Macaca mulatta: one gene and its partner. The protein of the gene in region 1 purifies or fractionates together with the protein of each later gene. This does not show direct contact. Links are inferred from orthologs where the notes say so. Each region holds a gene or a part of one and is shown on either strand. Other genes may lie near its edges.

Region 1 (3,822 bases):
AAAATTAGCTGGGCATGGTGGGCCACGCTTGTAATCCTAGCTATTTGGGAGGTTGAGGTTTGAGAATTCCTTGAACCAGGAGTTAGAGGTTGCAGTGAGCTGAGATTCAGCCACTGCACTCCAGCCTGGGCAACAAAGTGAGACTGTCTCCAGAAAAAGGAAAAGACATTTCATATGGGCAGTTACTTATTTGCAATATTAAAATCAGCTAAACATTAACTTGGTGTGAAGACAGGACTATGTAGTATTGATCTACTTTTCCATTTTGTAACTTTTATTTTAAAGCTTTCTCATGGTTTATTTTATTTCATGTATTGTATCTTCTGGAGCAAACTTCCACCTATTTAATAAGTAGGAATTCCTGACTGAAGAAATAATGATTCTGATATGAATACAGGGTGCTGTTATTTGCATTCTTTGTCTGCATTTAATGAACTCCATTTAGGAAAAAATAAAAGTTTACTTTCCTGGCTTCTATATTTAAAGACTAAATGCTACCTAGAATGTTTAGACAAGGGTGTTTTCCCTTGCCCTGTATCTCTGGTGCCCAGAATGTGTATTTGACTTTGCAAAGGGAAAAGGCTTGTAGGAATAATGCTGTGCTCCCCACGGGCAGGCTGCACGACGTGCTGATGGAACTACAGAAGAAGCAACTGCAGCAGCTCTCCACCTGGTTAACACTCACAGAGGAGCGCATTCAGAAGATGGAAACTTGCCCCCTGGACGATGATGTACAATCCCTACAAAAGCTGCTAGAAGAACATAAAGTAAATCTGTCTCGTATTTCTTTGATACCTTACCAAATATGAAAGAGCAGCACTTAGCATCTCAGAGGCTGATGATGTCTATCATTAACATGAAGTTGCAACACTTCTTCAGGGTTCTCTTCATTTAGTAGCTCACGGTGGAATTGATGGGGATGAGACTTTTCTGAGCCAGGGATAAAAGGGCAGGGTAAAATTTTATATGTGATGTGCAGTTTTCTTATGAAAGTACATAGCTTTCATACAACTGGAGAAGGGTTCTTTTGACCCTGTAAGTGGTGAAGAACCCTACCATTGCTGGCGTTCACACGGTGTGTGGGTGAAGAGCAAATTCTGAGAGGTGTCTGTACCTAAACCTTTAAGGAGAGCTGTTTCTTTGTCTGTGATCCAGGAAAGCATCAAGCGTTACGGGAGGAACTGATATTAGTTGGGCTTTTAATTTGGTCACAAGCTTAGGAGATAAACTTTTCATAGTTAAGATAAGGAAAGGTAGAATAAAATATGCTCTCTGTAAACTGAAGACTTTTATTGATCAGTGAAACACTGAGGTAACTGATGCGTAAAATTTTAGGAATACATTAAACACACCTCTGAGAAGCTTGTGAGAACACTATTGATAGTGTTTAAATACATTTTCTTTCTTTTCTTTTTTTTCTTTTTTTTTTTTTGAGATGGAGTCTTGCTCTATCACCCAGGCTGGAGTGCAATGGCAAAATCTCAGCTCCCCCCTGGGTTCAAGCGATTCTCCCACCTCAGCCTCCCAAGTAGCTAGGACTATAGGCGTGTGCCACCACGGCTAATTTTTTGTATTTTTAGTAAAGTTGGGGTTTCACCATGTTGGCCAGGCTGGTCTTGAACTCCTGACCTCAAGTGATCCACCTGCCTTGGCTTCCCAAAGTGCTGGGATTACAGATGTGAGCCACCATGCCCAGCCTATAAATTTTCTATACACATGTATCCAATGACTATGCTCTTCCCATGGAAAAGGTGAGAGAATCTAAAGTGTCCATACTTCCTTAGCCGCTTTATTGGGTAGCTAATCAGAGTAACTTTTGACTATCATGTAGCATTCTACTTATCTCTTTATACCGTCCTACACTAGATAAAATGATTTCTGACTTGGTATATTTAAGCTCTGGACTTTTTTGCTTTATCACCTCTACATTTTTGTCTTAATTCTTAGTATGGGCACTCAACTCCTTTATGCTATAAATTCTGAGGGAGGGTCAGAACTTGAATAAAAGTGGTGGTATCTCCATTTGCAGTCTGTTATAACATTGCATCCTCAAACTGCCTTTGTTGATAATGGAATGTAAAGATGTAAGATAGGATTAGTTTCATTAGTAGAACACTTGGGGTACTGACTGGAAATTTAAATACGATGCCTCATAACTGTCCTTAATTACTATTGACAACTGAGTGCATTTTAAATAGGTAAATGTGAAAGAGTAGAAATAATGGTTTATCTTAATTTTTTTCTCTAGAGTTTGCAAAGTGATCTTGAGGCTGAACAGGTGAAAGTAAATTCGCTAACTCACATGGTGGTCATTGTTGATGAAAACAGTGGTGAGAGTGCTACAGCTATCCTAGAAGACCAGTTACAGGTAAGGGCCCTGTAAAGTTGGATAATCCTGAGGGACCTGTGATCTGAGACCCAATTACATATTGCTCTTGTTCTTCATGTACTTTCTCATTCTTTATCCAGAAGGGTAGAAAAACCTACCTTTGGTTGTATTTCCCAGTTGGGATTCTACAGTGTGTGGGCTACAGGAGTACCCAGGTATTGATTCCTTTACTTAAGCTCTTGGGGTGAATGAGTGAGACTTGTTGCAGTCCCCAGCTTCCTTGTGCATAATGACAAGATTTAGAAGCACAGTGTATTAGTCCGTTTTCACACTGCTGATAAAGACACACCTAAGGCTGGGAAGAAAAAGAGGTTTAATAGATTTACAGTTCCATGTGGCTGGGGAGACCTCACAATCATATCGGAAGGGAAGGAGGAGCAAGTCATATTTTACATGGATGGTGGCAGGCAAAGAGAGAGAGCTTGTGTAGGGAAACTCCCTTTTTTAAAACCATCAGATCTCGTGAGACTTATTCACTGTCACAAGAACAGCAAGAAAAAGACCTGCCCCCATGAATCAATTACCTCCCACTGGGTTCCTCCCTTGAAACGTGGGAATTGTGGGAGTTACAATTCAAGATGAGACTCGGATGGGGACACAAGCAAACCATATCATTCTGCCCCTGGTCCCTCCCAAATCTTGCGTCCTCACATTTCACAACCAATCGTGCTTTCCCAACAGCACCCCCAAAGTCTTAACTCATTTCAGCATTAACTCAAAAGTCCACAGTCCAAAGTCTCATCTGAGACAAGGCAAATCCCTTGTGCCTATGAGCCTGCGAAGTCAAAAGCAAGTTAGTTACTTCCTAGATACAATGGGGATACAGGTAAAGAGTAAATAAATCTGTTCCAAATGGGAGAAATTGGCCAAAACAAAAGGGCTACAGTCCCCATTCAAGTATGAAATCCGGTGGGGCAGTCAAATCTTAAAGCTCCATAATGATCTCCTTTGACTTCATGTTTCACATCCAGGTCACACCTATGCAAGATGTAGGTTCCCATGGTCTTGGGCAGCTCTGCCCCTGTGGCTTTGCAGGAAATATCCCCCTCCTGACTGCTTTCATGGGCCAGTGTTAAGTGTCTGCGGCTTTTCCAGGTGCACGGTGCAAGCTATCAGTGGATCTACCAACCTGGGGTCTGGAGGACAGTGGCGCTCTTCTCACAGCTCCACTAGGTGGTGCCCCAGTAGGGACTCTGTTTGGGTCACATTTCCCTTCTGCACTGCCCTGGCAGAGGTTCTCCGTGAGAGCCCCACCCCTGCAGCAAACTTCTGCCTGGACGTCCAGGTGTTTCCATACATCCTCTGAAATCTAGGTGGATGTTCCCAAATCTCAATTCTTGACTTCTGTGTACCTGCAGGCTCAACACCACAAGCCAAAGCTTGTGGCTTGCACCTTCTGAAGCCATGGCCTGAGCTGTGCTTTTGCCCCTTTA
Region 2 (3,822 bases), on another chromosome or scaffold:
TTGAATTGAAATACATTAAAATATAGCAAAACTCATAAATAGGTTGGATTTTCTTGTGACAGAACTTTTCCAAGAGGTGCTGGAAGGGCTGAAGGTATATCCCACAAGATCCAATCTACACACCCTACAAAAACCCATCCTTGAAGAGATGCACAAGGGCAACACTGCTGGAACTGATCTTTGAGTTTAACTAAGATAAACGTCCGTAAATCATAATCCACTTGAACAATGAGCTCACAGAGTCACATTTCCTCCCACAGACCTGGTGCCACATGCTCCTGAGAAGACATCTATCACACAGACACTCACATGCCACCTTTGCCAGGTTGGTCACTCAGACTCTTCATGAAAAGATGGTTTGCTAATATAACCACAATCTCCCCTCCCCACCCTCTGCAGAAAAGTAAAATGGAACAGTATTATTAAGTCCACACTCTCCTCTCTCATACTTGTTTCTTTAATATTCTAGTCATGCACTTACAAGAACTCCAGAATCTAAGAAAAATAAAACTAACAATAATTTTTCAGCCGTTTCCACAAAACAAAACTTGGAAAAGATTTTAACTTACTGTGAATGTAAGACTATGTTCCAGAAGGTCCTTGCTGTTCAGTTGTTATTTAAATCGGTACTGAATTATCTATATTCCAAGAAGTAACATAGTTTTGAGTCTTCCTATATTTTAAGTCTCAGGAAGCTACACTGGGTTCCAACAGAATAAGTAAGAGCACCCAGTGGGGTGGAGGGTGGGAGGAAGGGGGACTGAATACTAGACCTGGGATAGAAGGTAAGTTTGCCCTTTAATTCTGCCACCATCCTTGATATTCCCTTTAATTCTGGGCAACACTCACACATCCAACTCCAAGTATTGCCTGGACCTTGCCTTACCCATGACGTGTACTCTTTCATTTGGTGCTGGTTGCTATGAGAACCACCGGCATGTCCCCTCCAGAAGCAGTCCTGACAGAGCTGGTAATTGTGACACTGTTGGCATCGGTAGCGAAATCCCATCATACTCTCACTGTGGCAGTAGGAACACTCCACCGGATGGAAGACTAAGGGGGAAGTAAGTGAAGAAAAAACAAGAAAACAAAAGTATGAACCAGAAGAAGGAAAAATACAGCCTTACAGGAATTGTACCTTTCTTCTCTGCACCACGATTTCAGATGATAGTTGATTTGGGCTCAGAAAAACATTTAGTTCATTCCTGGATTCTCCCACAACCCTTTTCAATCATGCCTGTGGGGAAATGAAATGAAATGGGATGGAGAAGAGATGTCCTTTTAACAACAACAATCTCTGTAATGCCATTTGCTCTTTCTATTCCCATCTCTCACCTAACAAGAATTTAAATTGCCCAAACAGACTTGCCTTTACCCCAAACTGCCCTCTGTCTCCAGGAGACCAGCACAGCTCACTGGAAGACTCAGAAACACAAGGGGTGAATGCCGATTGTCCAGTGGGAAGAGAGCAAATATCAGAGACATGGAGAATGAGAGGAAGAAAAAAGAAAGCAAGACGGGCAGAGAGTGGAAAACTGGATGTGGATGTGAGAATTAAGTTACTTTTTAAAAAATAGAGTGACTAATGGCTTACTTAACGACTGGTGTTGCCTATATCTGACAAAGAGATTTTTTTTTTTTTCTTTCCTGAGGCAGGAGTATAGGGCCCTAAAAAAGATGTGTAAGTTATCTGAAAACAGTTCTAAATAATTCAGATACCTCAAGAGACAGTTAACTTTCTTTGATAGGAAATTTGAATTATAAAGCAGGCAAAGCAAAATACTAGATTTGAAGCAAAGTAAAATATTAGATTTAAGTGATCAAATCCAAGTAATTATCTACATGCTATGAGCTAGATACTAAAACGACAATAACAATTCTTGCCTTTGGTAAAGCTATTCTCTGGCCTAACCAGTCAGGAAAAACACTACAAATAATAATAAATGAAGATAAAAAGCAAAGTGTAAAAACAAAGACATAACTAGCTCTGGAAGCACTGTCTTCTAAACAAGTGTCATAACCTTCCTTTCTGGCTCTTGAGAAAGACTAGAGTGGGACTTGAATCTAGGGACAACTGTTCTGGGACAGTGCCTGAGAAACTGATCTCCTGCAGCAGGAAATGCTGAGAGAGAAGGAATGAAATTATAGCTTTATGATTGGAAAATGACTAGTTCTAGAACTGTAAACAGTAACATGAACTCATTTTGCATACTAACATGGACCTTGATTGCTCTTCACTTCTGCATATGGATAAACAAAAAAGCTATGATTGTTAGTGATTGCAAAAAAAAAAAAGTAAATTCATTCTTTAAATTTTCTCCATTAGAAAAACAGGATAAATTCATAACTTTTAACTAACTGAGATAAATAAGGGCAGATGCTCAAAATTTTGAATGATAATTTAAAATTAAGCTAACTTTAGTTTCAATGTATATTAAAGAAATACACAGAAGTTGAGTAATATATAGAGACTTAAATCTCTAGTAAGAGATATAGACTAAATTATTTCCTCGTCAAGTCTGGAGAAATTTCAGAGTTACATTGAACAGTAAGTAGGAACACCTAAAGATGAGATGGAGGCACTGAACAGTTCCATGTTTAAATTTCTGTAAAATTTGCCCCAAACTGTATTTCATACTTAAATCTGGATATGCCAACAGCAGTTCCTTTTATCCTAGAAATACTTGCTTTAAAAAAAGACATGATACGAAAGTTATTTTACTCTTATCTTTAACGTTAGTACAACTATTGAAAGCTCACAATCTGGAACATATGACTGAAGATTAACAGGGTGCTATCATCTATTTTTTTTCTCATTTCTCCCACCTATTTCTGGTTGAGTAACTGGGAAGAAATAATCAGTGCCATGTATGCAAATATGAGAAATTCAGATCTAAAACAAATACAAAATAATGTCACACTCCTTGTTGAAGTTCGCCTTCTATTGTGCCAAGTCTTTTAACCACACCTGACTTGTAATTAAGAAGAACACCATGAGATTTACTAAGTTTTTAGAACTGACAGTCCTAATTTTTCAGTGGTCCTTTAAGGCCTTCCCGAACAGGGAGATGGGTTAGTTCTCTCCTAAACAAAACTAAGAGGCACTAAATAGGCTTCCCTAAAACAACGACCTGGGCTTACTAACTGTAGAACTAATGGCCTAATTTCAATAATTTAAAAAATCACCTTTGCTCGGTAGTAACTACTCACCATTTTCCACATTCGCTAGTCGATGCAGAAGAGGCAACCAGACCAGACACTGCGGGGGAGGATCTGACATAAGCGTGTCCAAAAAACCATTTAACGTGACTTTTTTCTGCATTAAAAAAAAAACAAAAAACCATAAATTTAGGACAGAGAATCATCTCAATTTACCTGCTATGTAAATATCATATCATTTGAGACTGAAACAAAAGAGCACTCAATAAACCTCTAATATCTGAAGAAACAGAACTTGCCAATATTAAACTAGTTCAGAACTGAAAACATTGCTTGCTTTTTATACCTAAGCATACATAGGACTGAATTCTCTCCACTGAGGCTGAGTCAATAGTAGCACCAGGAGAAAAACAATTCTGAGAGCATCATTTGTATATATGAAAGACAGTATAAAAATAATGAAGAAAAATAAAGAATTGAAATTCTCCATGGAATTTTACTCAAGAATGCATCATAGCTCACTTTATAATTTACCTATCAGTCAGTCTTCTAAATTTATAGAACAACTTCCCTTTCGAGCTTCCTCAACTTCCTTAAGTACTAAATATTTAGTGGTTAATGTCAATGGTTCTATTATACAGGAGCAGGAGGGAATCCTGTTAG

The links.
Region 2: the proteins of UTRN (region 1) and DTNA purify together in Homo sapiens (affinity purification with mass spectrometry; 3 studies listed by BioGRID and IntAct, with this or other methods). This does not show direct contact. The link is inferred for Macaca mulatta from reciprocal best matches to the Homo sapiens genes UTRN and DTNA.

The regions. Positions count from the first base shown.
Region 1 is NC_133409.1:49,693,091-49,696,912, forward strand, and holds part of UTRN (utrophin), read left to right. Parts: intron 1-616; coding exon 617-767; intron 768-2,248; coding exon 2,249-2,368; intron 2,369-3,822.
Region 2 is NC_133423.1:57,646,765-57,650,586, forward strand, and holds part of DTNA (dystrobrevin alpha), read right to left. Parts: intron 3,317-3,822; coding exon 3,211-3,316; intron 1,054-3,210; coding exon 887-1,053; intron 1-886. UniProt on the Homo sapiens protein: May be involved in the formation and stability of synapses as well as being involved in the clustering of nicotinic acetylcholine receptors.